Linked DNA regions of Arabidopsis thaliana. The protein of the gene in region 2 purifies or fractionates together with the protein of the main gene of each other region. This does not show direct contact. Each region holds a gene or a part of one and is shown on either strand. Other genes may lie near its edges. The genes, in order: AT5G67630, AT3G09200, AT2G17360 and AT5G25230.

Region 1 (6,988 bases), on a different chromosome or scaffold from region 2:
CTTTGCCCGTTTCCTGATCCAGCTTCTTCTTCCTGTGTTTCGTCTTCTTCTTCGTCAAGTCAAGCCCTCCTCCTTCTTTCAATAACTTGCCAAGCTTCACACATTTCTTCGTCGCAAACTCGTTCAAAACCTCTGCATGATATAAAATTGTCAACAGCTTTATAGATCATTTTATTTATCAGAAACAGAGAAATGGAGTTAAGAGTGTATATATATATACCTTCGAAGCTGACGAGACGATAGACATGTCCGATGAGTAAAGTGTCGTCAGGACGAAGGAGTTTAAGCTGCTTCAGTGGCAAACCTTTCTCGTTCTTCATCGTAGGTGACGTCACCACCACCGCAACGTAATGACCAGGATTGGATTTCATGATGTCACTCGCTGTCACTGACCAGTAAATCCTCTCCACCTTGTTCTCCGCCGGGTGATGAATCAAAACCGTCGCTGCTTCGGCCGCTTGACAATTCCCCATTTTTATTTTTTTTGCAAAAAAAAAGAAAAGAGAAAAGAGTTTTGATTTTTTTGTTGGGTTCCTGTCTGAAACTAAAGTATATAAGAAGAGATTGTTTTGGTTTTAATAAATAGCGACGTCAGAATTCTTCATCATTTGGGATTGTCAGGTTTGACAAAGAGGTCGCTTGAGATCGATAAAAAGGATTAAACACAAACAAATAAATTTAGAAAATAAAAAGAGGAAGAAGAAGAAGAAAATAACAGAAAGATAGAATTTGTAAATTAAGATGTCGACACAAGAGATTAAGCAATGAGACGAATAAATAAAGAGGTTGGGAGTGGTAGATCTATTTATTTTATTTCTGATGTATAATGATAATGACATTTGAATTTTATATGAAATTAATAAATGTTATTAAGGATCTTGCATATCGCAACCAATGAATTAATTAACAACATGTTTCATTCTCTTGAATTATTAAGTTGACTAGAGGTTATGGTATCTAATTAAAAACCAAACTAGACTGTAAAATTTAATCAATAACCATCTTTTACTAATACTATTCAACAATTTTCATTTAGAAAGTAATATATTGATGATTTGATAACTAATTAAAGGGGAAATAATAAATAATTAAGAAATATTTTCAATATGATCAAAGTTTTTTTTTTTTTTTTTTTTTTTTAACTTTATGTAATTTGTTTTATGTATGGATTGATTGCTGTTTTTATGGCTTCAATGTGTGATACGAATCTCTGAAATGATATCCGAGCAACACGTAAAACTATGTCCAATTTTACATGTTATTTGAACTAAAGTGTAGTTGATAACAAAATCTTTATGGATTTGATTTATTTGAATATTCATTCACATATTTCTTATCACAATCCGATTGTTTTTTTGTTTTTTTCATCATATCACAATCCGCATCATATCACAATCCGATTGTTTCGAAGAATAAAAAGTACTATTACAAATAAAGGCTGTTCCAAAGGAAGCTGTTGATTCAGAGTTACGGTAACAGTGAGAATGATAAAATGTAGTATGGGACCCATGACGAGTTGAATCAGATGTCACAATGGCAGAGTACCTAAAGACACTGCGACTCTTTACTGTCAATAGATTTGTTCGACTTTTTATAATGCATATTTTTGGTTGGATTCACCAGCGTGTGATGTTTGTTTTTTCTAATTACTTGCAAGCGATGTGTAAATTAGATTAATTCAATCCATGAGTTTGGAACAATTTGTTTGGCCTTCTATCATTAACTCTTGTTCTACAAAGCCGTTTGTTTTGAAATCTTTATTCAAGAAATTCAAGGACACACGTTTATTCATAAATTTAGATAATATTTCACTAAATAAGTTGAAATTGACCCGACCAAGCAAAATAAATTCGTTACACCAAAACACGCCACCAAAAACCGATGAAGTCTGGTAAGAGAACACTCGTAATTAATTTACTCTGATGGTAGAGACTTGCATGCGTGTCAAATTTTGCGAACAACACACGCTTACATGTATTTAATGATAAGAGAGAGATTCACTATACTCGTCAATATTGGGCTTAAAGCCCATATAAAGTCTTAACGGGCCAGACTAATTTAGTAAAACCATCTCCTACAGTCTAGTCTAACCGAACCGAAATAAGTTGACCAAATCCAAACAAAATCAAATTTGTACCAAACCGATCTGTATTGAACTTGGTTAAATCATTTTCTAGAACCGAATCTCGTCACAACTTAAAAAAAAAAAAACATAAATCCGAGTTCAACATCCTAATCATACATATCACCACGAAACATGATAAATAAGGCAAACAGAGGTGGATCCTCAGATCTGCATAGCATCTTGTTCGTCTTCTGCAGCAGCTTCATCGTTTTTGATTGGTTCACTGAACATATACTGACTCTGATACTCAACAAGATACTGCATCGATCTCCTCACATCCAAGAACAGTCTGTAAACTCTCTGAATATCCTCAACCTCCACGACTTTCCCTTTCCGTTTCTGGCATGACAATGCAGCTGCGGTTATAAGATGAATCGCATACCTTAGAGATGTATCACGTCCGATCAATGTCAAAAGCTGTTTGGCCTCTTCGTTCATCTCAACGTCTTCCTCTTGGCAACGGATTTCTAATATCTTCCTTATGTCATCGTCTGTGTAAGGTTGGGTAGTGATGATGAGAAGACGGTCAAGGAGATCAATCGGGATCCCGTGTGGTGATTTCTGGTTTGTGCCACGGATTGTCGTCACTCCTCGGTTTGTTGCCACCACAAGGATTGGTGACATTTCGTTTTCTAGAGCTCGGTTAAGGAATGAGAAGCATTCGATGTCGAGCATGTGGACTTCATCAATGAAGAGAACTCCGGGAACTATCTCTGCTTTTCCTTCTTCTCTCCATTCAGCTACTTTTGTATCAATTTGTTCCCGGACTTCTGATCGGATTTCTCCAGTATCGCCAGTGAAAAGGGCAAGAAACCCTTGTGTCCTGCAAGCAAACAAAGAAGAAGTACACAAAGTTACTTTTTTTTGTTCTACCAATCATGTTTCAAACATTAAATTCCGCAACCAAAATTGGTTCTAACGATACCACAAACAGATGAGTTAGTTATAGTTATAAAGAGTGCTCTGACTACACACTGCTAAAGAAAATGAGCTTGAGAATTTCAAGAGCATATAAAGCAATGAATTAATCTCAAATTTGAGACATCTCATCTGAAATTAGTGAGCCAAATCAACTAAATTCCCAATCACCTAATCACTAAAACTTCAATTTTGCAACCTACATTGGTATTGCAGATACCAAATCATGATTACCAATGTTTACAATTCAGGGAATGTTAAAAGTACCTGCTGTTGATAACATCAATCTCGTGAAGAGTGACACAATGTACAACCTCTTTCCTCTTCTGCAACTCACCTTCAGGGCACTGCACAAACTTGGTCTGCGCACCCATAGCATCATAATCACGAGACCTCGAAAACGATCTTCCAAGCTTAGTAATCTTCCCAGTAGCTTTATCAATGGCAATAACATCACCACTCTGCACTTTCTCCTTGTTCAAAGCCTCAATCATCTTAGCTCCCATATCATACACAGTTTCCATATCAGTCGTTTTCATAGTCATCTTCCCTGACTTGGAAGCAACACCAGAAGAAGCAGGCCTATCAATCTGAACCTCAACAACTTCTCCTTCAATAACCTCTGTCTCTTCTTTGATCCTAACACCAATCGCTTTACGAAAAGACTGAGTCAAAGCTTCTGTCTTTGACATCTCTAATGAGAAAATTTCACTTCCTGCAATCATCGCAAAAGGAGTTTCCAAGCCAAGAGATTTCGCCATACCCATTGCAATCGCTGTCTTACCCGTTCCGGGTTGACCCGCTATTAGAATAGCCCGACCCGCGATTTTCCCTTCTCTAATCATCTGAAGGATTACACCGGCGGCTTTACGCGCCTTCACTTGACCGACCATACCTTCGGAAACAGCTCGCGGCTCGAGGGCAGAGTCGAGACCTAGTCCTCTGATGTGTGAGTGTGCGCCGATTCGCTCGACTCTGGTTAAGTCCCGACTCTCTGATAGCTTTAGTTCCGCCATATTCGATTATCGTCTTCGTGCGATTGAGGCGGAGGGAGAAGAGCAAAAAGTTAAGGTTTTAGGGTTTAGAGAAAAGCTACACAATGGCAATGACGATGTAAGAGTTAAATCCTCTTAACAAGGGCATAAAAGGAACTCACAAATCTTATAGACGAGAATTATAAATTTAGTAATATACCCTTGAATTATTAAAGATGAAGTAATTAACTCTTAGATAAAGGTCTGTGATAATTTGAACCCTAATTAGGAATTTCAGGGATTGCATTGGATCCATCCTGGATATTCTTAGAACTCTCTTTGGCCAGTTTCTTAGCATTTCTTCTCTTCTTGACTTTTCTCGTCTTATCATTGTCACCGATTAGTCCTACCAAACAAAAAATAAAGAGTCAGACGCGTAATGTAATTAATACACAAAAGAGAACGTTTGAGTAATTTGCACAGGACCAACAATGAGACAACAACTTGATGAGCTAGTAGATTTTGATTAAAGTCAAACCCTTGATCTGAATACGTACATGTGTTATGAAATCTAGTTAGATAAAGTACGAATTTTTCCCAAAAGATTTGAAACTAAGGATATCGTCAAAAAAGTCAAAAGCTGTGTGTACCTTCTTTCTTCTCTTGGGCATTTGGTCGAACAAGTTGTGAGCATATGTTGCTAATGCTCCCATCAACCTCTTCTTCGCCACCGTCAGAATCTTCTTCTTCAACATTGCTCCCACAAGCATCTCCGACACTTCTTTCATCATGGGTCTGAAGCATTTCAGTCGGAAGTAAAGGTCCGATGACTTTCTTCCGTCGAGCTGCTTCCTCTTTGAGCATCTTCTTCCTTAACCTCTTTCTCTGCGCTCGACTCTGTTTCTCTGCAATCCCCAATTCGTCTCCGATTTCTTTGTCTTCTCCGTGATTAGATGAATCGATTTTCAAGTAATCCTCTGAATAATAAACAAATTTGAATGTGACTTCCAAAGTGTAAATAACTTGTTAAGATTACATTAATCGTACCTGGGTTTATGAGTGACACATCGAATGGTTCGTTATCAACAACCTCCACCTGAAACAATGGCGGGAACATTTATCGATTCATAACCCAATCGAGAACTAACAAATTGACACAAATAGAGATTGAGAAAATACCGGAGGCGGAGAATAGGAAGGAGAAGAAGGTGGCGATGAAGGAGGATACAGTGTTTGAAGAAGAGCTTCGTGAAATTCTCGACGCTTTTCTTCTCGCCGTCGCATCGTCGGCACTTGGCAGCGAAATCTCCGTCTAATTCATAAGATGTGTAACTTTTTTTTTTTTTTTTGTTCATTATGTCCCTAAACTTTAGTGGTAACTGTATTACTACTCCCAATTTTTTTGATATAGTATTGCACCCACACAAGTCAAAGAGTTCACGTCAAATGTAACTAAAACTTTTTTTTTCCTTCTTTCTTTAATAAACACATTTTAAAAAAAAACACATTCTTATTCCATGATTGCAGGAAAAGTCGGATTCACGAATAGATCTTGCTAAAACGTCAAAACTTGACGAAGAAGCAATAAATGATAAGATCGAGATCGATTCTAAGGGATCGATATCGACAAGGTTTTGCAAGTCCTCCTTACAGGGCTTGAACACAAGCTCTTAGGGTTAGGAGTCCTTTTTTATAGGCTTTACACAAAACACTCTTTAAAACTCTTTAATCAATAATCAAAACTAATTACAATACTAAATTACGTCTTTTCAAATAAGAGAAAGATAAAAAAAAAAACTAACATAAAAGAGAAGCAAACGAATACAAGTACTAAAAGGCTAAATAAACATGAAGCCCATGAGAAACAAAACCCAAACAACGAGCCAGCCCAAACGGGACGAACAACACGTTCGTCTTTGAGATACGCTGCATCAGCCCTTCTGGGTTAGAAAGATTCGACCCAAATCTGAAATCTTTGAAGACATCCTTTGTCCACCAATTCATAATACTTTCTCTTAAGAACTTTATGGCGTTTCCTTTTCAGCCTCAAGAGCGACTTGCTAAAGCTTCCTCCATATAAAAACTTTGTTAAATGAATTCCAAGATTCCTTGAACACATGTGACCAAGATATCCTCTGTCTTTTTGGATAAACTCATCACCTCGCAGATCTTTCCTCTCCATTTAATTGTTGCCTGCATATCCAAGCTGAAATCAAGTAACTTTCACATGAACACAACATTGACTGCATTCATGTTCACATGTCAAGAGCTTGCTTGTTGTGTAAGCAACGTCACTCCAACACATAAATATTGTGGACATGTAACAGAAATCCGATTGTGGGTTACGAACAGTTCTGTTTACCCATTTAGAAGCTCCACTCAATGCTGACTTGATGTTGACAAGATCCTGGTGGTGGTGCAAAATGTGGACCTTTGACAAGTCACCGACAAAAGGTACGGCGTCGAAAGAACTCATTACAACCAAAAAGCGACTGTTCTCGTGAATAGTATGATTTCCGAAAAGTCCACAAGTGTTGATCTCGTTACAATTCAACACATTATCCTTCCACCTAAGACATGTTGCGACCCCAACGTAGAACCCCAAGTGTTTGATAAACACATCTTCTCTTCTCTTTTTAGAAGCCACAAATGAAAAAGTATCCCACAGCAGCCAAAAAAATGTAGAAGTCTCCCAGCCAACAAAGCCACTTTCCAATAAAGATTCAAATGGAGGCACCAGATGTTGAGCAAAATAGACAAAACAAAAAGCATTTTAGACTCTCACTATCTGCACTTCACCAAAGTCCATTGAAACGCCCATATAAGACATCAAAACATGGACGAGAAAACACACTTCACTCTGTTCTTATGATTCCCTCTGTTCACAAAAAGATTTTCTAGAATGGAGAGATCAAGTAGGCGGTGATGGTGTAACTTCGTCATATCCGGCATGGCTCCACAGATTAGTACA
Region 2 (6,947 bases):
TATGCAGTTTTGAATCCGTATTTAGCAAACCTTGCACGTATGCAGACTCTCCGTAATTCTTCTAATACATTTGTTTCCCGTGGACTAACTTTTCATTTCTCTTCTGATGATGCAGTAAATGTGGAAGGCTATTAGCAATGGATAAAAAGTCTGCGTTAATCTTACCTCCTTTACACCGCGCTTACCAAGAATTGCCTCTTGCATTAAACCTGGACGTTTGTGAAGCTTACCACTCCAGTTGCTCTCAAGATGATACCTAGTACTCTAGTGATTAGGGAGGATCAATTAAAAGAAAGGTTAGAAATAAGTTCTAATAACATTTTGTATGGATCTTTAGTATCTGCTCTTCTCCTTGATATACCTCTTGTTTGTTGTTGATGTCCCATGTTGAGGTTTAGATTAACTTTCTTTCTTTCTACTCTCTGGTAACATGTGAATGTTGTCTTCTTTCTAGAGATTTGATCTTTGTTCACGAGATGACTGAACAGAGACCTTTTTTTTTAACTCGGTTCACATTACTCTGTTGCAGTCAGCATCAAAGTGAGAAAAAGACAGTGGGTGTTGATTTTTGCTTCCGATCCAGAAATATAAAACATGTTAAATGCAAGATCAATAAATTAAGTTATTTTGCAAGATCAAATAAGCTTACGGCTTCTTTCATAGAGATTGTACATGTGAAACCTGCAACTAACGAAGCAAATAAAAGAAAACACTAAATAAAGATAACACCAGAGGAAGTGGAAGAAGGTACTACATTTACACTACAACAAGACAACCTTCTTAAACCAAAGCCAAAGCCAAACAAACTTCTCATTACTTCTTGCCATCTTTAACTGCAACGACCACAATGCTCACTGCACATTCCTCTGGAACCACGGCCATTGACCGCCTAACACTGCAAATAGTCCAAAGATACATAGCTGACATTGCCCCTACGGCTCCACATACTGCAGCCAAGACCAGAGCACCAAGCATTCTCCATATACACTCACTATTTTCTCGGCCCTCTTCCATTTCCGTGGAAACGTCCGGCTTCAAACCTTCATTTGGTCCTAATGGCGCTGGTTGCACCCATATCGGATCAAGATGCCATATTTCAAAGCTCCATGAATGGAGAAAATGTGGCTTGGAAGAGTTCCCATTAGCAGAGCTTAAACCCACCATGACTTCACCACCTTTCCAAAGCTTCTCCAAGTCTACCGAGAAAGAGAAGAACGGATCAAACATCTTTATCGAACCACGTTTTCTGAAACGAACCCTCATTCTCTTAGAACTTGCCTCATAATCAATCATACAGCTCAAAATCCCTCCATCATCCATCATCAAGTCACCCACAAACGAAAGGTTTCTAATTTTGGCAGACTCAGGTCTACCAATTAAGACTCTTGCACGGTTTCCTCTCTTGGAGATATCAAACTCAAAAGCAACAACTGTCTCGTTCTTTGCATACTCTAATAGAAACCCTAAAGCAGAGGAACTGTAATCTTTCTTACCAAACAGACTAAGATCCAAAGTACTTGGAACCATTACAAAAGCCAAGACATCACCAATCTCATTGGGCATCGAAAACGAGAAGTAAGTCGAGAAAATAACGGAGTTCCTCTCTTTACCTTGGAATAGATTGATGGGTTTCTTGTAAAAGACTCGTCCCTCGGTCCGATTCACTGAGTCAGTCAGCTGAATCGAAGAACTGTCATTGACCAGCTTCGAATCTCCAAACAGAGCAACACTCTTGTCAAAACTCTGAGATTTTACGAATTCATCAAATGAAAACGTGAAATCCACACCTGCGGTTCCATGTATCTCAAAGCATAAAAGGACCAGAAAAGATAGGGTTTTGAATATCGCCATAGCTATACTGAGACTAAAATTGGTTCTCTCTGATTTAATGACTACAGAGACGAGCTCTTCTCTCTCTCTTACTCACTCACTCACTCTTCTCCTTCTAAAAATGGAATTTCTAGGATTTGAGAATGACTTCCATTTTTTCAAGAAGTATTTAAGTTTGTTGTTTTGTGTGGAACTATGCGAAGAAAGCAGAGGAAGAAGTTAAATATCATCAACACATGCAGAGAGATTGATTCGTTCTCAGTCCCACTCACTTTCTCCCTCGTAGTGGTTGCTGACTAAGGTTAATGCCGTTTCTGATTTGTATCTCAGTTTTATTACATTCTATCATGTTTAGCCTCATTTACTTTTAGAATATGACATTTGTGCCTACTTTCTAAGAAATAAAATGACTCAACTTGTAGATCTAAGAAGATTCTGCTTCATACAAATTTTATCAAAGTCATGTATAAGAAGCTCTTAACTTTCTCGACGGATAGATAAATTGCAAATTCATCGTCCAGACATTATTGAAAAATATTAAAGCAACCATAAGAAAACGAAATCTTTCCAAAAAATAAAAGACAGTAGTAACATAAAACTGGATTGGCTAAAACCAAGAAAATTGAGGTCCAACATACTAAAAACAAAGCAACACTTATAATCCACGACAAAAAGGTAAGATCTTAACCGACAAAATCTACTCTTCATCGAACAAACCGAAATCACCTCCATAGTCTTCTTCGTCGGACTCTTCCTTCTCCTCTACCTTAGCAGCAGCTGGGGCACCACCACCTGCATCAGCAGACACCGCAGCTACTGAAGCAACAGCAAACTTGCTTGGATCCTGCATTCCAGAGAGTTAACATAAACAAAATCAGTACTCCAAACTTCCGAAATAAAATGAAAAAGATGCACAGTTTTAATGCATACTAACCTTCAAGTATTCCTTGACCTTCTCTGCTTGAGGGAAGGTGTACTCAGTGGCAACAGCAATAGCCAAGGCATTCTTGTACGCATTGATGAACATATGCGGTGCAGCAGCAAGGGTAGGGTACGACACAGCAAGAGCCAAGGAAGTGACCATGGAGATACCAGAAGCAAACTTCTCCACAAGTTGGTCTTCAGTAAGATCAAGAACCTCTGGGCTGAAGACTGAGCCATTGTCATAGACAGACTGGACAACAAGACCATATGAGAACGGCCTGATGCCAAGCTTGGCTAGAAGCGCAGCCTCAGAAGACCCGACCTTGTCACCTTGCTTGATAAGCTCAACTGGGGTGATGATTTCGACGGTACCCTTGTTAATCTTGGTTGGGATGTTAAGCACCTAAAACAATCCAAAACACATACATGTTCAATTAACTTCAAATTGTCGTCAAACGAATCAAATCAAACATTAAATGTAAGTTTAAAACAAACCTGGAAGAAAGATGTTTGGGATGGGTCGAGACCAGTGTTGCCAGGTTGGACAACCACATCAATTGGAGCCACCAAACCCACACGAGCAGGGGCACCAACCTGATTCATAATAAGAAAAGTTCCATTACAATCGAATCACATTGAAAAAGTATCAACATTTTAACCCAATCATATTGCAAAAGCATCAACATATTACACAATCCAATCACGTTGAGAAAGCAACAACATTATACATAAGTCAATCGCATTGAGAAAGCATCAACTTTTTACACAATTGATGAGCTCTACTTGGGATGACTGTAATACTCATAGGAACACAGGCAATATAAACAGAAACGTAAGCAAGAAATGATTACACTATACATCAGATACCATCGAAAGCAACACAAGTAAATTCAGAACATGTATAAACTAATGTAAGCATGAAATGATTCCTCTATGCATCAGATACTTACTATCCGAAGCTATAATCACACATTTGTAAATAAGATATGAAACAAGAGCAATTAACAAACCTTGTACTTAGCAACCTCCTCGCTCACTTCCTTGAGGTCACCTTTGGTAAAGATCAAACCAACGTTTCCCTACAAAAAACGAACACAGAACCATCGCAAATTATTTTCTAAACACAAACACATCGATAAAATCTCAATCATTTTGGACAAGCTAAGAAAGTTTACCTGAAGGAGAGGAAGCAGATTCAGGATTGCAGTGTTTCCGGTGTTCTCAGAGTGAATCCTAACGGAACGCTTCATCATAGTGTTCTTCCCCATAAGCACGACGGAGTCTCCACGAAGACCCTTTCTGATGTTCTGAAGCTGAGTTGATCCGACGTTATCGGCCGCAACGACCAAGATCTGGGTGTACTCATCGATAAGCTGACATAGCTTGGTATCGTAGGCGATCTTCTTCTCTGCCTTAGTTGCTTTCACCATTTTCGCTCACAGGATAAGTTACGAGACACAAACTCAATTTAACTCTGTGTATAGAGAGAGTTTGACGTAAAGAAATTAGGGTTTTGGTATCAGCCGTTTTATAGTTCACGATTTGGCCTGAGGATAAGGGAACCTCTAGGGTTTTCTTTGTGAATCTTAATCTAACGGTTCGTGCCTGTTTGCTTCATTCTGATCTGACGGCTCTTGTTTGTTGGGCCTTTTCACAAATTAGGCCCATTTAACCAGTAAAGGCTCTCATCTTTCAAATGAAGATAGAACGTCGTCGTTGCAATCGTTTGGCGAATTTAACAGAACAAACACACCAAAACTTCCAAAACATGTGAAGTGATCATGGATTTATATTTCAAACCAAAAAATTCACATTCTAGTGAACAAACTATTTAAGATTGAATCTCAGGAACAAGTTCATTGATGTCAATTTCCACTAGTGTCTCCTTCCCAAACAAAGTAAATCCCACCGTTGCCTGCAACCAACCATACGAAAGAATCAGAGAGACATCTAAACAAACACATTTGTGCAAATTGACCAGCTTTGTTATCAATAACACAAAGGAGCTAGAAGTAGTTAGTTAGTGTACCTTTGCAGTTTTGCGGTTTAGTTTCTTTAGGTTCCCAACAAATTCAGCAAATGTCCCTGATAAAACTCTAACTGTAGAACCCGCTGCAAGTTTCTTCTTCTTCGCCTTTGTTTCAGTAGCAAGTGTAGCTTTTCTCGGGGCTCGTTTCGGTTTAGATTCTGCTACAGTCTCAATAACATCTGAATTAGATAATGCGAGAAGTTCCTGTGACGCTAGTATACTCGCTTCTTCTTCAGCTCTATCTGCCTCTTCGAACTCACTATCTGCTTTCTCTTGCGCTTCTTTTGCTTGTTTGAAAATAGCTTCCAAGTCACTGTCATCTACTGGTCTTGGTTTATTAATCTGTCTCTTGCTACAAAAAAAAAATGCAGATACAAATTAATTCACAGACCTTAACACACATAGGGTGAGAGTGAGAGTGAGAATACTACTCACGTATTTCCAACTTTTGAACCTATGAAACCTCCGACTCCATCAACGTCTCTTATGGAGTCATGTATCTCTTTGTTCAATATACATCTGATGAAAATGCAACCAGGGAACACTGGTTTCGGTTTAACAGATATAGAACCGTTCTTTAGCTTTCTCTTCACTTGAACAGATGGTGCATAAACCTGGACAACCAAATTCAAAAGCCACTTGTTTCAATACCAATGTATGAATTCCCCACAAATTCTAAAGATCACACAATAACCCAAAATCAAATCTTTTCACTTTCCATCAACAACTGTTTAGAGTTTGTCAGCAATTCTATCAAGATACCAGTTTGATCCAATCTCATTGTCAAAATCCAAACTTTAAAATCACCCAACACAACCCAAATATCCAGTAAAATTCCAATTACCGTGAATTCCATTTCAGGGAATTGACGAGCCAGAGCTCGAGCTAAGATTTGAGCAGTCTCATGACCACGAAGTCTCGAAACCCTAACCGCCCACCATTGCGGACCCGACTCAGCCAAAGTATCCAAATTCAGCTCCTCCGTCCACGTTGCATACCGTTTTTTTGGTTTCTTAATCAACTTTTCTTCAACTTCTTCTCGCCAGCTATACCCCAATTTACTCTCCCGCCGCTCGTTCCGGAGCTGCCGTCTCTCCTTCGCCGTAAGCTGGTGGTTCCGCTCGATGACACAGGCGGCGATAGAGAATTGGGTTTTGTTGATTGGCGTATAAATCGACGGGATTAAGCTGCTACGACTCCACTGGAGAAGTCCCCCTTGCAGCTTCATCATTCTCTGTTTTTCTTTTGGGAAAATTCCGTTGATAAAATTCTCTGTTTGTTTTGGATAATGTTTTGGAATTTGTTTAACCGGGAACCCGGTTTATCCCAAATGCCGGTATGAAACTAAATCAGATTAAAATTACCGGATTGAAGTAGTAATTAAACTGCAAATCACAAAATTGGAGTACTTTACAAAGATATGGGGCACTAACTTTGTATTTTAAAATTTTGAATAAATATTTTTCGGGTAATGTCTAGATTACAAATGTTTTTAGCTTATGCAAATTATCAAAAACTGTTTTTTTCTTGTTCTATAAAAATGTTTTTAATTAGTAGAACTTTTATTTTGGTTCAAGTGACGTTCTTTTCAAAAATATCAAATTAAAACTTGTAAAAGTGACAAAAATAATAATAAATCATATAAATTACTCACAGCACACACAATTGGTAACAACATATGAATGGACTACAATACAATTTCTTTACCGACTACATCAAAACAAATGTGAGACAGAGAGACAAATTTTTGTCTTCTTTGCTCTAAATAATCTTCTTTTTATTGTTTTCGATGAAATATGTTTTTTTTATCTTGCTTAACATTTGGGAAGATCTGGTGGTGGCGGTGGCAAGGTGGTCGACTTGGTCGGTCCGTTCTTAACCACAAATATCATCCCTAGTCCGAATGGTAAGTGAACATCGATATGACAATGAAAAATCCACGCACCTGAAACAATGTAGCCAATATTTAGGTTTCATGCATAAACAACAATAATAGCCTTTGTAAAACTCTAAACTATATAATTACATTTTTAGTATAACTAAGGAATTGGATAGAGAGTTTATACCTGGATTATTAGCAGTGAAACGGATCACAGCCCATCCACCAACAGGGACAGCCAAAGTGTTACGGGATTGCGGGTCAACGAGATTTAACTTGCTCCGG
Region 3 (6,735 bases), on a different chromosome or scaffold from region 2:
AACCATATGCTAAGTCGAACCGGTTCACATCAAATGACATTTTTTTTAACTTGAATGTAGAAAAACCATCAAAAAAGATTCGAAGACAATTTCTTGTTGTCATGAAGTTACATGATCAATGTTCTATGCTTCTATCATCTAGAATATTTTTCTTGATTTACTCTTATAATTTCCCCAAGCTTAAAACAGATTCATGCATGGCGTTTGATTTCATACAAGAGATACATTGTTTTCAATCAATATACCTGACTGTAGTTGCATTTCCGAGGCACTTGGTTCGACATTGACTTCAGTGTCGTTTTTGTTGTTATCTTCTTCTCATTTTGTAGGATTTTTTGTTTGACCAAGTCACCAAGGAGAAGAATCTTTGAGCAACTTCTACTAACGATTTTAAAATAACACTCGCCACAACTACCACGTGAAGCTAGCGACAATAACGATATCAACATGACTTCAGTATTCTTAAAGCAGACACGTATGCTTGTGCACCATAATCAATGTAAGACTTTCTAGAGCAAACCCATAAACCTTGTTTTGTCTCCCACACCGAAATATGACATCGAGATCGGAAATTTGAAACATCAATCAGAATGTTACCACATGTTTAAGTGATACATTTATCTTACTGTTGTTTAGCAGAAGTTGTGATCTCCCTAAGACCCTAACATTAACAAAATGGCCCCTAAATACTACGAAGCAATTCAATAACTATCTGAAGAAACAAGGTTGAGTTCAAACTTAATATTAATAGCGCAAAAGGTCCAAAATATAGCTCATAACAATCCGAAAAGATAAGTTTTAAAACAAAAGTGACTCATTGAAAAGCTGCAAACTAAAGCATGGTTTGTTCTGAAACTGGAAAACAGAGCATAGTATTAACTATCAAGCTTGTTGAGCAGAAAGTCTCTTCCTGGCTTCCTCAATGATGGTCAACTTAATACCTTTACCCTTTGGAAGGGACACCCATGGCTTTGTTCCCTTACCGATTGTGTACACATTTCCCAACCTTGTTGCAAACTCATGTCCTGTTGAGTCTTGAATGTGGATGGTTTCAAAGCTACCCTTGTGTTTCTCACGGTTCTTAATCACACCAACACGCCCTCTGTTTCTTCCTCCAGTGACCATAACTACGTTGCCCACATCAAACTTAATGAACTCCACAATCTTGTTCTCCTCAAGGTCGAGCTTGATGGTGTCGTTAGGCTTGATGAGCGGGTCAGGATAACGGATGGTGCGACCATCATATGTGTTCAAGTAGGGAATACCCTTCTGACCAAATTGGATCGATCTCACTTTGCAAAGCTTGAACTGCACAACAACAAAAGAGGATACTTGTTGGAATATATTACAAACTGGTAATCAACATGCAAATTCAGCAGACCTCTAATGTAAGTATAGAGCAATGAATAAAGACTTGACTTTGTTTTGACAGATTCAGTATATGGCAATGTAAGAGATTTAGGAGAACAAACCTTAGCCTCCTCATCCTTGATGGAGTGGAGACGGAAACGTCCCTTGGTGTCATACAAAAGACGGAAGTTCTCATTTGTTTTGGGGATAGACACAACATCTGTAAATAAATATTTATCCTTAGTTAGATCATTGATCACAAGAAGCATAAAAATCAATCAGCACAAGGACTATAGCCAGACTCTGAAAACGTATCACAACACTAACAGACTCACCCATGAAACCAGCAGGGTAAGTCTTGTCAGTCCTCACTTTCCCATCAACCTGAATATGCCTTTGCATCAAGATCGAAATCACTTCTCTGTATGTCAGAGCATACTTCAACCTGTTCCTGATGATAAGGACCAAGGGTAAACACTCCCTAGACTTGTGTGGCCCAGAAGACGGCTTGGGGGCCTGGACAGAAATAGCATTATAAGCACCGAATCAAACGAAAACTAAGCTCTAATAAGATTCAATCCAACACAAGTGAAACTTACAAAGGCACCACCAAGTTTATCAAGCATCCAATGCTTAGGAGCATTGAGCCTCTTCAAATGCTTCTTCAAACCTCTTGCCTGCAAAAGAATATCGAACAAAAATAAAAATCAAAACACAATAAATGTTTATAATAGCTCAATCACTAAAAGTCTCATCACTCAAGACCTCAAGTCACAGAACAAGAGAATAACGCCAGGGAGGTTTCATATCTGACTAATTGAGTCCTATCTTTTGAGATCTCAATATCAATCCCTAACCCATTTTACAGATCGCACAAAGGAATTCACTTTATAAACATTAACAATTACCCATAATTACATGGAAATGCTATCTAGATTACAAAGAGAGATTTTATAATCCCGCACAAAATGAATTCACAGATGGAGACAAACTATCCAAAACCAAAACAAACACATGACGCAATACGCTTGTGAATACGAGACTTAGAGAAAGAGACGAAGATTACGAACCATGTTTGCAGCGAATGAGTTCTGAGTTCTCCGCGGCTAAGCAAGCCAGTCTCAATTATATCTTCTAGGGTTTGAGAAGAAGCGAAACACAAAGCCCTAATTTTAAGTTTTTAACATGTGTAATCCAAAAATCCGCTGCCACACGTGTGACTTATGTTAAGTACAGGCCCAATATAGGCCCAATAAGAGCCCGCTTTTATTTATTTTTCCCACTCTGAAGAAGATTAGAAAGCGGAAAAAAAAACAAAAGGTCGTGAATGTCTCTGTCCCTTTCTTCCTCAGTTCTCACGCAAGCTTCAACGAGAAAAGATCGGAATCTCGCCGTCGGTAAAGCGCCGCCGTAAGTAAAAGACGGAAAACCAGAAGAAGGAGGAGATTGTATTTATGTGTAGCAGCGTTTAGTGTGAGGAAGGAGGAGATTTTGTATATAGTTAGAATTTGCTTCGAAGACGATGTCGCTGAGAATTAAATTAGTGGTGGATAAGTTTGTGGAGGAGCTTAAGCAAGCACTTGACGCTGATATACAAGATCGGATCATGAAGGAGAGAGAGATGCAGAGTTATATAGAAGAGCGTGAGCGTGAAGTCGCTGAGCGAGAAGCTGCCTGGAAAGCTGAGCTCTCTCGCCGTGAGGTTCGTTTTTTTTTCAAATTTTGATTTTTAGGGCTTTTGGAGAATCCGGAGAAATCTGTGTGGGGATACTGATTTTGTTCTGATTTTGACAGACGGAGATCGCTAGACAGGAAGCGAGGTTGAAGATGGAGAGAGAGAATCTGGAGAAGGAGAAGAGTGTTCTTATGGGGACTGCGTCGAATCAGGATAATCAAGATGGTGCTCTGGAAATTACTGTGAGTGGTGAGAAATATCGGTGTCTTAGATTCTCTAAGGCTAAGAAATGAGGTTGGAAATTGGAATCTGGATTCTAAATTTAGGGCACAAAAGGAAAAGATTTGTTCTTGCGTTTATGATGGATGCAATGGGAATTGTTGGAATGATGCTTGGTTTGTGTAAATTATTAATTCAATGAAGAAAGTATTGTGTTTTCTGGAAAGAGAGTTTGTCTGATCACTTCAAGCCTCAAGGTGCTTTCTTGCTCTATTCAAACTTTTGTTGATTGCTGTGTGACATGTTGAAATTCAGGTTTTTAGATCACGGTATGTGTGAATGATGGGTTTAGTTTGATTAGTATAGATGTTTGTAGGAAATACAGGGGCAACACCGGAACATATCTTTCCGTTTTCTTCTGTTCTTAAGGATTTTTCATGTGGTTTTGCTTGAATGTGTAAACATCTTGTGGCATGAAGAGAATGAAAGGTGGCCAGGGTAAAGATGCTAGGATGCATGAGTGAGTGATTATTGGTGTTAGTATCTATCATGATTTATGGTGATTGATGAGAGACAATAAACAAATGTTTTTGGGTAGGGATTAGGGAGATACTAGCATTTAGAATTTCTTCTCCTGTTATAGTTAGCTTGGTCTTTTGGCAAAGCAGCACCCAGTAGCAAACCTAAGGGGTTTCACTTTTCAGAACATAGGGAAGAAGTAGAAGGTTGTGCCCGTATGAGTGGGCTTGTTAGTGTTTAAGCAGATAGCCAGACAGATGAGCTAGGTTCCATTATCCACTATGTTACAATAGTAATAATTGCTTTGCTGCTGGAACTAACATTGTGGTACAGTGTACCTATTTCCATATTCTTGCTGTTTCTTAATTTCTTTATCTAGGTTTGTATATCTTATTCCGAAGGATGAGTTTTTTTCCTGGTCCTGTTAGATTTGCTTGACTCAGAATTGTGTCCGACATCGGTATGCATCTATGAAAAGGAAATATCCATATGTTTTTCTCTACTTTTAACATTCTCTCTTTGAGTTAAATCTAAAACAAACTTGTACCTCAGTGGCTTTATTCAAGCAGTAGGTGTTGTGGCTAGGTTGGTATTGGATCACTCTAATTGGGAGAGCTTCTTTGCTTGTCAAGGTGCCTAGGTGTGGTTTTACCACTTATGATAAGTAGCTGATTACAATTGTAAACTCCTGCAAAATTGAACTTCTTTATGGCATATGAATGTTTTCTATAATCTCCAGCTTCCTTACCAAAACAGGTTACTCCTTAATCCAAGAGGGCATTGATATTATGTTCGACAAATACGGTTATACGGGCAGCAAACAGCAAGTTTTGCCAGAGTTTCAATGGTTTCTACAATTCAGATTGCTGCTCGAGCTAATATAGCCGACCACAGATAAGGTATCAAATCATTTGAAGACCAAAGATGACTGATTAGTATAGAACAAAAAACTTAACTTTGCAGAAACAAACACCACAAAGATAGGAACTTGGCTACTATTTAACTAAATCCAAACCAAACCCAAAGCAAAAAATGCAACATTTATTCGTGTGGTAGTGGAATCACTAATATGGATCTTTGACCCGTACCCGACCCGGCTCTAGATACACTTGTTCTTCATCGTCATCAATCATTGTATCATTTCTGAAGATCATCACAAGCAAAGAAAATGGAGAGCGATTCAGAGATGGTTCCGTTTCCTCAACTACCGATGCCAATAGAAAACAACTACAGAGCTTGCACAATTCCTTACAGATTTCCTTCTGATGATCCCAAGAAAGCCACTCCAAATGAAATCTCGTGGATCAACGTCTTCGCCAATTCCATTCCTTCTTTCAAGTTCATTCTCTTCTCACTACTTCTCTCTTCCGACCTTATTTAGTTTCTATTTACTTTGACCAGATTCAGACTCTGTTCATGTTCATGGGTCAGACCAAGCTTTGATTTTGTTACCAAAAAACTACTTCTCTTAGCCTCAAATATCAAAAAGCTCAGGAAACTTTTCGTCTTTCAGCTAAATTCGACTAATGTCGTTGGTTTGTTGTTTGTGTTGACTTTCCTGGGTTTACTTGGTTTTTGACTTATTTACATCAAGAGTAGTTTCTGGAAGCTTATAGGCAACAGTTGCAATCCTGTTTTTTAACCAGAAAATCCCATTAAATCTCTATGTTCTAAAGCTGTTTCATTTACAGGAAACGTGCAGAGAGCGATATCACTGTTCCAGATGCTCCTGCTAGAGCTGAAAAATTTGCAGAAAGGTAAATTTTTTGCATAATTGGTAGTAATTCTCAAGGTTTTGGTTGGTATGAAATCTTTTGTCATTGTCACCTTCATAAAGTAGAACAAAGGCTGTGCCCTGTGGTTTGTTTGATTCTCAAGATAGTGTTTCAGTCTTTTGATTTGCGTTTAATATCTCTTACCTTGAATCTGAAAGATATGCTGGGATTCTTGAAGACTTGAAGAAAGATCCAGAGAGTCATGGCGGACCACCAGATGGCATTGTAAGTATAAACACCACATGATCTTTTCCTTTGGTGTAGTGAGCTTTCTTCTTTTCATAGATTATCTTGGCTTATTTTCAGCTTCTATGCCGACTTCGTGAGCAAGTACTCAGAGAGTTAGGATTTAGGGACATATTCAAGAAAGTTAAGGTGTGAATTTCCTTTCAGTTTTCTTGAGGTTTTCAGATAGCTAGCACTTATTCTCTCTGATTAGATGAGTTCACATTCAATGAATAGGATGAGGAGAATGCAAAGGCTATATCACTATTTCCTCAAGTTGTCAGTCTGAGTGATGCTATTGAAGATGACGGAAAACGGTTAGAGAATTTGGTGAGAGGGATATTTGCTGGAAACATCTTTGATCTTGGTTCTGCACAGGTATCTTTCAATCGCCTCTCTTTGGTATCTCCCACAGCAAGCATGTCCTAATTTATGGGCTCTTTTCTTTTCACATCTTGAAGCTTGCTGAAGTTTTCTCAAGGGATGGTATGTCTTTCTTGGCTAGCTGTCAAAACTTGGTTCCACGACCATGGGTCATTGATGACTTGGAAAACTTCCAAGCCAAATGGATCAATAAGTCTTGGAAGAAGGTCACTCATTTGTTTTGCTCTTCCTTTTAATGCTTCGTTCAGACTTCAGTGGTTAACCGCTTGACGAAATGAATTGTTTATTTTCTCTTTTTCATGACAGGCAGTGATTTTTGTTGATAATTCTGGTGCAGACATAATTTTGGGTATTTTGCCGTTTGCAAGAGAGTTGCTCCGTCGAGGAGCTCAGGTACCTTTGACTATGACTGAGTCTTTTTTTTCACAGTCTCTTCAGTGAGCTTAAGTATACTCTGAATTGTTCATCCTCTTCATCTTTCCCCTTCAAGGTGGTGCTGGCTGCTAATGAGCTGCCATCTATCAATGACATAACATGTACCGAGCTTACAGAAATCTTGTCACAGGTGAATAAGTGATGAATGAGTAA
Region 4 (8,948 bases), on a different chromosome or scaffold from region 2:
CCTCCTAATTGGTTAAACACAGCGCTTCTTCGTTCCTCAGATAACAACAATAACTTCCTCAACCTCCACACAGCCACCGCTAACACCACAACCGCAAGCAGCTCCGATTCTCCTTCCTCCGCCGCCGCCGCCGCCGCTGCTAACCAGTGGCTATCTCGCTCCTCCTCTTTCCTCCAACGAAACAACAACAACAACGCTTCCATAGTCGGAGATGGGATCGATGATGTCACCGGAGGAGCAGACACTATGATTCAGGGAGAGATGAAAACCGGCGGTGGAGAAAACAAAAACGACGGCGGAGGAGCTACGGCGGCGGATGGAGTAGTGAGCTGGCAGAATGCGAGACACAAGGCGGAGATCCTTTCGCATCCTCTTTACGAGCAGCTTTTGTCGGCGCACGTTGCTTGTTTGAGAATCGCGACTCCGGTTGATCAGCTTCCGAGAATCGATGCTCAGCTTGCTCAGTCTCAACACGTCGTCGCTAAATACTCAGCTTTAGGCGCCGCCGCTCAAGGTCTCGTCGGCGACGATAAAGAACTTGACCAGTTCATGGTATATAAATTTCAGATTTTTTTGTTCTATAATTTTATAATTAACGATTTCATAATTATACTTAGCACAAATTTTAATAATACACACCGACTTAGGTTTCTTGATTTTTGAAATCTTAAAATATTAAAATCAAGATTTGTGTTTTTAGGGATAAACAAGACTAAAATCCCAAAAAAAGAGCTTATGATATAATAATGGTCATGATGATGAAGAAAATACAAATTTTGTTCTTTGTGTTTATTGTGTGTTTGATTAATGTTTTTTTTATGGTGTAGACACATTATGTGTTGCTACTGTGTTCATTTAAAGAGCAATTGCAACAACATGTGCGTGTTCATGCAATGGAAGCTGTGATGGCTTGTTGGGAGATTGAGCAGTCTCTTCAAAGCTTAACAGGTGAGAAAATGAATCCTGTGATTAGCTCATGAATCCAATAGTTAGTTTTATGACATTGACAAGTTTTGTGTTTTATTGGTGAGATTAGGAGTGTCTCCTGGAGAAGGGATGGGAGCAACAATGTCTGACGATGAAGATGAACAAGTAGAGAGTGATGCTAATATGTTCGATGGGGGATTAGATGTGTTGGGTTTTGGTCCTTTGATTCCTACTGAGAGTGAGAGGTCGTTGATGGAAAGAGTTAGACAAGAACTTAAACATGAACTCAAACAGGTAATAATCAACAAACTTGTTCTTTGAACTAGTTCATGAACTAACAATGTAGAGGGCTTTGTCTTGTTGATGAAAAGGGTTACAAGGAGAAGATAGTAGACATAAGAGAGGAGATATTAAGGAAGAGAAGAGCTGGGAAGTTACCAGGAGATACCACCTCTGTTCTCAAAGCTTGGTGGCAATCTCATTCCAAATGGCCTTACCCTACTGTGAGTTCACTCATCTAACATCTCTTTATAACTTCTTCAAGTTCATTCATTGAGCCATAACCAAATATTGGTTTGTAGGAGGAAGATAAGGCGAGGTTGGTGCAAGAGACAGGTTTGCAGCTAAAACAGATAAACAATTGGTTCATCAATCAGAGAAAGAGGAACTGGCATAGCAATCCATCTTCTTCCACTGTATTGAAGAACAAACGCAAAAGGTATTATTATACTTTAATATAGTCTTGTAACATAACCGAAAAACTTATGGATCGGACTCAAAGAAGACTGAAACTTTTGTTTGTCTGATGAAAGCAATGCAGGTGACAATAGCGGAAGAGAGCGGTTCGCGTAGAAACAACAAACATATGATGTGAATTGGGGAGGTGGAAGATGGGATTTGAAAGCAGGGTTTTAGGGATTTAAAGTTGAGAATTTTATGGAGGAGTTTGGATTATACAGAGAGAGGGGACAGTATTAGAAAGTAACTTTTTGTGCAATTACATAGTAACGTAGTTTGGTTATGTGATTATGCCCATATATTTTATTAAGTAGCACACAAACCAAAAAGAAAATATGAAAACTGAAGATGCAGGCTTTTGTTTAATGTTTTTTGTTTGTTTGTCTGCATGAGTTTTTTTTTTATGAACCATCAGATAATCATCATCATCATCCATAATATATCTTGTGAATAAAGATAGTGAGAGAGGAGAACATTGGGATGCACAAGTTTTCTTAATCTACTAGTATATGTTACGCATTGACCAGGTGCATATGTTAATTTGTATCGCACCACTTGGTTAGCTTAATCTATGTGACTATTATACAGTATATGTTTCGCATTAACCGTACTTAACCCATCTTATGATTCTTATCCGCTTAGTTCGTAGTATTTATTGCGATGTCACATTCCAACTCGTGATATTGGCTTGATAAGTAAAAGACATTATACATGGTAGATGACGACAAAAAATAAAACATACCCCATCTTACATAACGTAGCTTGCTGCGTACTTTTGTAATTGTAATAATTTGAAACGTGTTCTTTTTTCTAGTCAAAATTGTTTGTTTATCCTCATCTTGTTGTTTCGTTTGTCACGTTTGTGATAGCCACAAGTTACTGTAAGTTTTCGGCGAGATTTTTCTATCGATCACGGAGAGATTCTGCACACATTAACAAAGATAATTAGAGTGTCCTTAAGTATTTTGGTCGCCTCTCTATTAGAGGACCATACAAAGTTCAAAGACTAGTCTCATGAGAAGCCCATTAGTACATTAGATTAAATCTAGGAAAGTAGATTCATATAAGTAGTTTTGTAATGAACATCAAAGTTGTTAACTTAGAGAATTGTCATTTGGATTGTATAAATGGTTTGATAAACGAAGTCTAACATTAGTATGTGTTAGTCTTCTAAATTCAAATAATAATCGGAGTTTTGGTCTCTTGGACGATGCTTCACAGTGATATTCAAAAGTTTACCGTTATCACCCACCAACTAGAGAAGCCAAATTAGGTCTTTTACCAACTGTAGGGTAAAGAACTGTCTTCATGTAATCATTATAACCACCACCATCTTGTTATGCTTTGTTTCTTCTTCAAATTGCAGCTTTCAATATACAACCCGGTTTACGTTCTGGTTTACACTTTAGACGTTTCAATTTACAAAATTGGGCCGATTGACAGATATTGGACCTGGCCCATCAATCTAAAAATGCGCTATTTTGAATCAAAGACCTATTTAAATCTTCCGACGACGACTCCGTTCACATAGCAGAAACAGTGGCGACAAACCCTATCACGGAGCCAACCCGCATTTTCCTCTAGCTTTCGCACCGCCTCTCGCTCTCTCGCCCCACCGGTTCGTCTCTGACATTTTGTGCTTGATTTGGCCGTTACAAAATTCTGATTGCTAGTTCATGAGATTCCTTTTTGACAGGTGACATAAAGATGGATGGTAGCTTGTATGGTGAGTGTGGTAACTATATTGGACCTGAGATTGAATCTGACAGAGATAGTGATGATAGTGTAGAAGATGAAGATCTCCAAGAGCCTGGGGGTTCTAATGGCTGGATTACCACTATCAATGAGAACCAAAATATTGTTCTTCCTGAGGATAAGAAGTACTACCCTATTGCTAAGGAGGTTTATGGTGAGGATGTTGAGACCTTGGTTATGGATGAAGATGAGCAGTCTCTTGAGCAACCCATTATCAAACCCGTTAGAGATATTAGATTTGAGGTGGGGGTCATCAAGGATCAAACAACAACGTATGTGTCAACACTGTTTCTTATCGGCCTCATGTCTAATCCTGCGCTTGTGAGGAATGTTGCTCTTGTGGGGCATCTCCAGCACGGCAAAACTGTCTTCATGGATATGTTGGTAGAGCAGACGCATCGTATGTCTACTTTTAATGCTGAAAACGACAAGCATATGAGATATACGGACACAAGAGTCGATGAGCAGGAGAGAAATATATCTATCAAGGCGGTTCCAATGTCTCTTGTCCTTGAGGACAGTAGATCCAAATCATACCTGTGCAATATCATGGATACACCTGGAAATGTCAATTTCTCTGACGAAATGACTGCTTCTTTAAGACTTGCTGATGGTGCTGTTTTCATTGTTGATGCTGCTCAAGGAGTCATGGTAACTAGTCTTTACTCTCTCTTTTTTCAAGTATACTATTTGTAGTACTAACGCTATTAATCTTTTTTCAGGTAAACACAGAGAGAGCTATACGGCATGCAATCCAGGATCATCTCCCTATTGTTGTTGTGATCAATAAGGTACATCATGCCTAAAGTGTGAAATTTTATATTTTCATACATTTGCTTGACCTTTGCTTTTTGTCTGCCCAACAGGTTGACAGGCTCATAACTGAGCTCAAACTACCTCCAAGGGATGCTTACTACAAGCTGAGGTATACAATTGAAGTCATTAATAACCATATATCTGCTGCTTCAACAAATGCTGCAGACTTACCTCTTATAGACCCTGCAGCTGGAAATGTATGTTTCGCCAGTGGTACAGCCGGATGGTCCTTCACATTACAATCTTTTGCTAGAATGTATGCCAAGCTTCATGGTGTGGCCATGGACGTGGATAAGTTTGCATCTAGACTTTGGGGAGATGTATATTATCACCCTGATACTAGGGTATTCAATACAAGTCCTCCAGTAGGTGGTGGAGAAAGAGCATTTGTTCAGTTTATTCTGGAGCCTCTATACAAGATATACAGCCAAGTGATAGGTGAACATAAGAAGAGTGTAGAGACCACCCTTGCAGAATTAGGAGTGACTCTGAGTAATAGTGCATATAAGCTGAACGTCAGACCTTTACTTAGGTTAGCCTGTAGTTCAGTGTTTGGTTCGGCATCAGGGTTCACTGATATGTTGGTAAAGCACATTCCTTCACCCAGAGAGGCTGCAGCTAGGAAAGTGGACCATTCATACACTGGAACCAAAGATTCTCCCATTTATGAATCAATGGTAGAATGTGATCCATCTGGACCTCTCATGGTTAATGTGACAAAGTTGTACCCCAAATCAGATACTAGTGTTTTTGATGTGTTTGGAAGAGTTTATAGTGGTAGGCTTCAAACAGGGCAAAGCGTACGTGTACTAGGAGAAGGGTATTCACCTGAGGATGAGGAGGACATGACTATAAAAGAAGTCACGAAGCTATGGATATATCAAGCTAGGTATAGAATACCAGTAAGCAGTGCCCCTCCCGGTTCTTGGGTTTTAATTGAAGGTGTCGATGCATCCATCATGAAAACTGCAACTCTGTGTAATGCAAGTTATGATGAAGATGTCTACATATTCCGGGCTCTCAAATTTAATACCCTCCCAGTAGTCAAGACTGCAACTGAGCCTTTGAATCCTAGTGAGCTGCCTAAAATGGTGGAAGGGCTTAGGAAAATTAGCAAAAGCTATCCCCTTGCGATAACCAAAGTTGAGGAGTCTGGGGAACATACTATTCTAGGCACAGGTGAGTTGTACTTGGATTCCATCATCAAGGACCTCAGGGAACTCTATTCAGAGGTCCAAGTAAAGGTATCTCTAATTTGGCTCTATGACTATGATTTCGTTGTGCAACTGATTACTAAGATTTGTTTGTTTCCTCTCGCTTTCTTAAATTTGTAGGTTGCAGATCCTGTGGTCTCCTTCTGTGAGACAGTGGTTGAATCTTCGTCAATGAAGTGCTTTGCTGAGACACCAAACAAAAAGAACAAACTAACTATGGTAAGAGATATTCCTTTTTCCACTATTATCCCTTAGATATTAGACTGCGATGTTTCTTATTGTGCTCATTGTGACTGATTATGTTTCATGCTAAAGATTGCAGAGCCATTGGATAGAGGACTTGCAGAGGATATTGAGAATGGCGTTGTAAGCATTGACTGGAACAGAGTACAACTTGGTGACTTCTTCAGGACGAAATATGACTGGGATTTACTTGCTGCACGTTCCATCTGGGCTTTTGGCCCTGACAAACAGGTGAAAATGCATTGCTTATATTCTTAATAAACTGCAATTGTGGTTGGTTTTGATTATTTCACTGATGGTTATTGATTTTCTTCCTAATCAGGGGACAAACATATTATTGGATGACACCCTTCCAACTGAGGTGGACAGGAACTTGATGATGGGAGTGAAAGACTCCATTGTTCAAGGGTGATCATCTTTCTTCTGTCACACTTTTCTTTGTCTCGATTTTGTTGGCTTTAGCTAAGTGGCTTCGTTTATATTCCTTTTGCAGGTTCCAGTGGGGTGCTCGTGAAGGTCCCCTCTGTGATGAGCCCATCAGAAATGTAAAGTTCAAGATTGTTGATGCACGGATAGCACCTGAGCCGTTGCATAGAGGATCTGGTCAGATGATTCCAACGGCAAGACGTGTTGCATATTCAGCCTTTCTTATGGCAACTCCAAGGCTAATGGAACCTGTCTACTATGTGGAGGTACATATATCTCTTTCCATTTTTGCTCTTCACAATTTTTTCTTTAGAATGATAAATAAGAGTAGTTATGGTTTTTGTCTTCAGATACAAACACCAATAGACTGTGTAACTGCCATCTACACAGTTTTGTCACGTAGACGTGGGTATGTCACATCTGATGTTCCACAACCCGGTACTCCTGCTTATATCGTGAAGGTTAGTTTTGTTTTGTTTGTGTCTTTCTCCTTCCTTACTTTGTTCCTGTTATTTGAGTGAATGATGATGATTCATTGAGTGGTGTTGATGCAGGCTTTTCTGCCTGTGATAGAGTCGTTTGGGTTTGAGACAGATCTGAGGTACCACACTCAGGGCCAAGCCTTTTGCCTATCTGTGTTTGATCATTGGGCCATAGTCCCTGGAGACCCTCTAGACAAAGCCATCCAATTGCGCCCACTTGAACCCGCCCCTATTCAGCATCTAGCTCGGGAATTCATGGTCAAGACCCGCCGTAGAAAGGTATTTATTATTTCCTTTGTTTTAGTGCTCATGCCAAAACTTTGATGCGGTTTCTGATACAAAATGAAACCGTAAACTGCTTTATTACTCTAGTGTTTGTTGAAATGACCCCAGAAAACTCCCACAAACCAAAATACAAACAGCCCTTACTAATTACGCTTTAACCAAGTAGCACCAGCTATAATTTGCCTAGGCTAGTTATATGGTAGACTCATTGGTTGTTTGGATCCTCAGTTTCAGGCTCTCACCGTATGTGTGTATAATTTGTTGGTATTGCAGGGAATGAGCGAAGATGTCAGCGGGAATAAATTCTTTGATGAAGCGATGATGGTAGAGCTTGCCCAGCAAACAGGCGATCTCCATCTGCAGATGATTTGATCATCTCTGCACTTTTTCATATCAATCGTGAGCCTATGATTCAAGACTAGTACTAGTTATATTCTCTTCTCTATACATGTGAAAGGAGAACAAGAAAATGTGGATCAATTTTGTAATTCATGTGTCAAATTTACGTTTAAAGTTGAGAGATTTTAATGAACTAAACAGTCCACATGGTCACACTCACGCATGACTCACAAACAGTTTACGGGAAATGTTCATAAAGTTTTGTAAATTGTAAGCGAATTCAATTATGGTAATGGAAGTGACAACTAACCAATCATAGATTGGACTATTGGAAACTGAACTAGGTTATAATGTATTAATGCTTAGTTATGCACATGATACAGAGATTCACAAGTATTTGAAAACTTTTTTACTTTTTACTGGTTTAGATATAGACTCAGTCCTTATATAGCATATTAGCATCTGCGTTCGTTTCATAATCTTTTTGGCAACACAAAGATGTACTTGAGTGTCCTCTTGACACAACTTATGCAAGTTCAAGTGGATGGAAGTATTACTTTCGGATTTTGGAACTCCACGAAATGTTCTGATTGAGTTATAGCTTATAGTAAAGAGGCTTTGTATACTATGACTAATCCAAACTTTTATACGTGGGCTAAATTTTTTGCCATTCATATCACAACTCATTTCAACAACACATGATCACTTTGCAAACACTTTAGCTTTGTATTTTATTTTATTTTTACTATAGCTATACCATGTTCGAGTTTTAAATATCTCTATCGTCCAAATTGGGCATTTCACATTTTTAAATTTACACCAATTAACTTTAGTGAAAATCTAATAAGTTGTTTATATATATCTCAGTTAGATAAGCACACGTATATTCGGGATAGGTACCAATATATTCAAGATAAACATATAAACCAAGTGTATCAGTAAAACAACAAATAAAGCAATGTTCTAGTTTTATACTAATAAAACATTACTCTAATTAGTGGGCAATCGAACAAGTTAAACCTAATTTAATACGAAATTAATTGTATTCCCTTATGGAGTATATACTAGATTTTAACCCGCGGTATACCGCGGGACGATTTATTTTTTTAAAGTAATATATATTAAAACTTGCAAATTTTATTTTATAAAATATTATATTTTACAATTTATAATTGTTATTAACTAACGCTATACCACGAATCCATGAGACAATTGTTAAAAAACTGAAGTTTTAACCCCTACTAAAACAGCATATTAATAATATTTTAAAATTTTATAAATATTAATTCAAATACATCCGCCATATAACTCAATTCTAAAATAAAACCCGTTCTGTAATTTCTTTACCCGTCCTGTGATTTTTTTTTTAAGTAGTAATTTTTAAAATTTAAGAATTATTTTTTATATATAAAAGTTTTGCAAATTGTATCATTTTCTAATACATTTATATTTTATAGTTTAATTTTATATATAGTAACATTATACATACCACATAACATTTTTTGTTTTATATAATTTTTTCTAAATTAGGATGATTTGATATGTTTAATATTAGTGGTCTTAGAAAATAATAAATTAAAGATTTAACCCGTATTGAAACGGTGGATTAATTATATTTTATTTTTTTATTAATGTTGATTCAAAAACCCGTCCCTCTAAATCCGTCTTGCCAAAAAGCCATTTATTTATTAATATTATTTTTATTAATGATATGACTCTGAAT

What was found.
Region 1: the proteins of AT3G09200 (region 2) and AT5G67630 fractionate together in Arabidopsis thaliana (co-fractionation; one large-scale study listed by BioGRID). This does not show direct contact.
Region 3: the proteins of AT3G09200 (region 2) and AT2G17360 fractionate together in Arabidopsis thaliana (co-fractionation; one large-scale study listed by BioGRID). This does not show direct contact.
Region 4: the proteins of AT3G09200 (region 2) and AT5G25230 fractionate together in Arabidopsis thaliana (co-fractionation; one large-scale study listed by BioGRID). This does not show direct contact.

The regions. Positions count from the first base shown.
Region 1 is NC_003076.8:26,965,248-26,972,235, forward strand, and holds AT5G67630 (P-loop containing nucleoside triphosphate hydrolases superfamily protein), read right to left. Parts: upstream 4,154-6,988; 5' UTR 4,060-4,153; coding exon 3,311-4,059; intron 2,949-3,310; coding exon 2,288-2,948; 3' UTR 2,131-2,287; downstream 1-2,130. Other genes in the region: AT5G67620 (DUF4228 domain protein), read right to left, coding at 1-132, 221-473; AT5G67640 (uncharacterized protein), read right to left, coding at 4,299-4,423, 4,668-4,994, 5,065-5,113, 5,197-5,301.
Region 2 is NC_003074.8:2,820,837-2,827,783, forward strand, and holds AT3G09200 (Ribosomal protein L10 family protein), read right to left. Parts: upstream 4,406-6,947; 5' UTR 4,185-4,405; coding exon 3,930-4,184; intron 3,834-3,929; coding exon 3,765-3,833; intron 3,349-3,764; coding exon 3,250-3,348; intron 3,158-3,249; coding exon 2,765-3,157; intron 2,675-2,764; coding exon 2,528-2,674; 3' UTR 2,252-2,527; downstream 1-2,251. Other genes in the region: AT3G09180 (mediator of RNA polymerase II transcription subunit), read left to right, coding at 1-37, 116-260; AT3G09190 (Concanavalin A-like lectin family protein), read right to left, coding at 814-1,851; PTAC13 (plastid transcriptionally active 13), read right to left, coding at 4,586-4,669, 4,784-5,135, 5,219-5,397, 5,628-6,014; LAC7 (laccase 7), read right to left, coding at 6,598-6,728, 6,850-6,947. UniProt on the Arabidopsis thaliana protein: Ribosomal protein P0 is the functional equivalent of E.coli protein L10.
Region 3 is NC_003071.7:7,542,286-7,549,020, reverse strand, and holds AT2G17360 (Ribosomal protein S4 (RPS4A) family protein), read right to left. Parts: upstream 2,582-6,735; 5' UTR 2,424-2,581; coding exon 2,421-2,423; intron 2,028-2,420; coding exon 1,950-2,027; intron 1,867-1,949; coding exon 1,686-1,866; intron 1,571-1,685; coding exon 1,473-1,570; intron 1,309-1,472; coding exon 883-1,308; 3' UTR 615-882; downstream 1-614. Other genes in the region: AT2G17350 (beta-mannosyltransferase-like protein), read left to right, coding at 2,873-3,052, 3,145-3,318; AT2G17340 (pantothenate kinase), read left to right, coding at 4,932-5,101, 5,455-5,520, 5,697-5,763, 5,845-5,913, 6,001-6,141, 6,225-6,353, 6,454-6,540, 6,638-6,712.
Region 4 is NC_003076.8:8,736,337-8,745,284, forward strand, and holds AT5G25230 (Ribosomal protein S5/Elongation factor G/III/V family protein), read left to right. Parts: upstream 1-3,208; 5' UTR 3,209-3,283; intron 3,284-3,361; 5' UTR 3,362-3,372; coding exon 3,373-4,071; intron 4,072-4,142; coding exon 4,143-4,211; intron 4,212-4,286; coding exon 4,287-5,480; intron 5,481-5,570; coding exon 5,571-5,669; intron 5,670-5,765; coding exon 5,766-5,924; intron 5,925-6,015; coding exon 6,016-6,101; intron 6,102-6,186; coding exon 6,187-6,385; intron 6,386-6,469; coding exon 6,470-6,580; intron 6,581-6,673; coding exon 6,674-6,880; intron 6,881-7,159; coding exon 7,160-7,258; 3' UTR 7,259-7,544; downstream 7,545-8,948. Other genes in the region: KNAT3 (homeobox protein knotted-1-like 3), read left to right, coding at 1-552, 828-948, 1,037-1,221, 1,299-1,430, 1,509-1,645, 1,740-1,779. UniProt on the Arabidopsis thaliana protein: Splicing factor involved in pre-mRNA splicing and component of the spliceosome.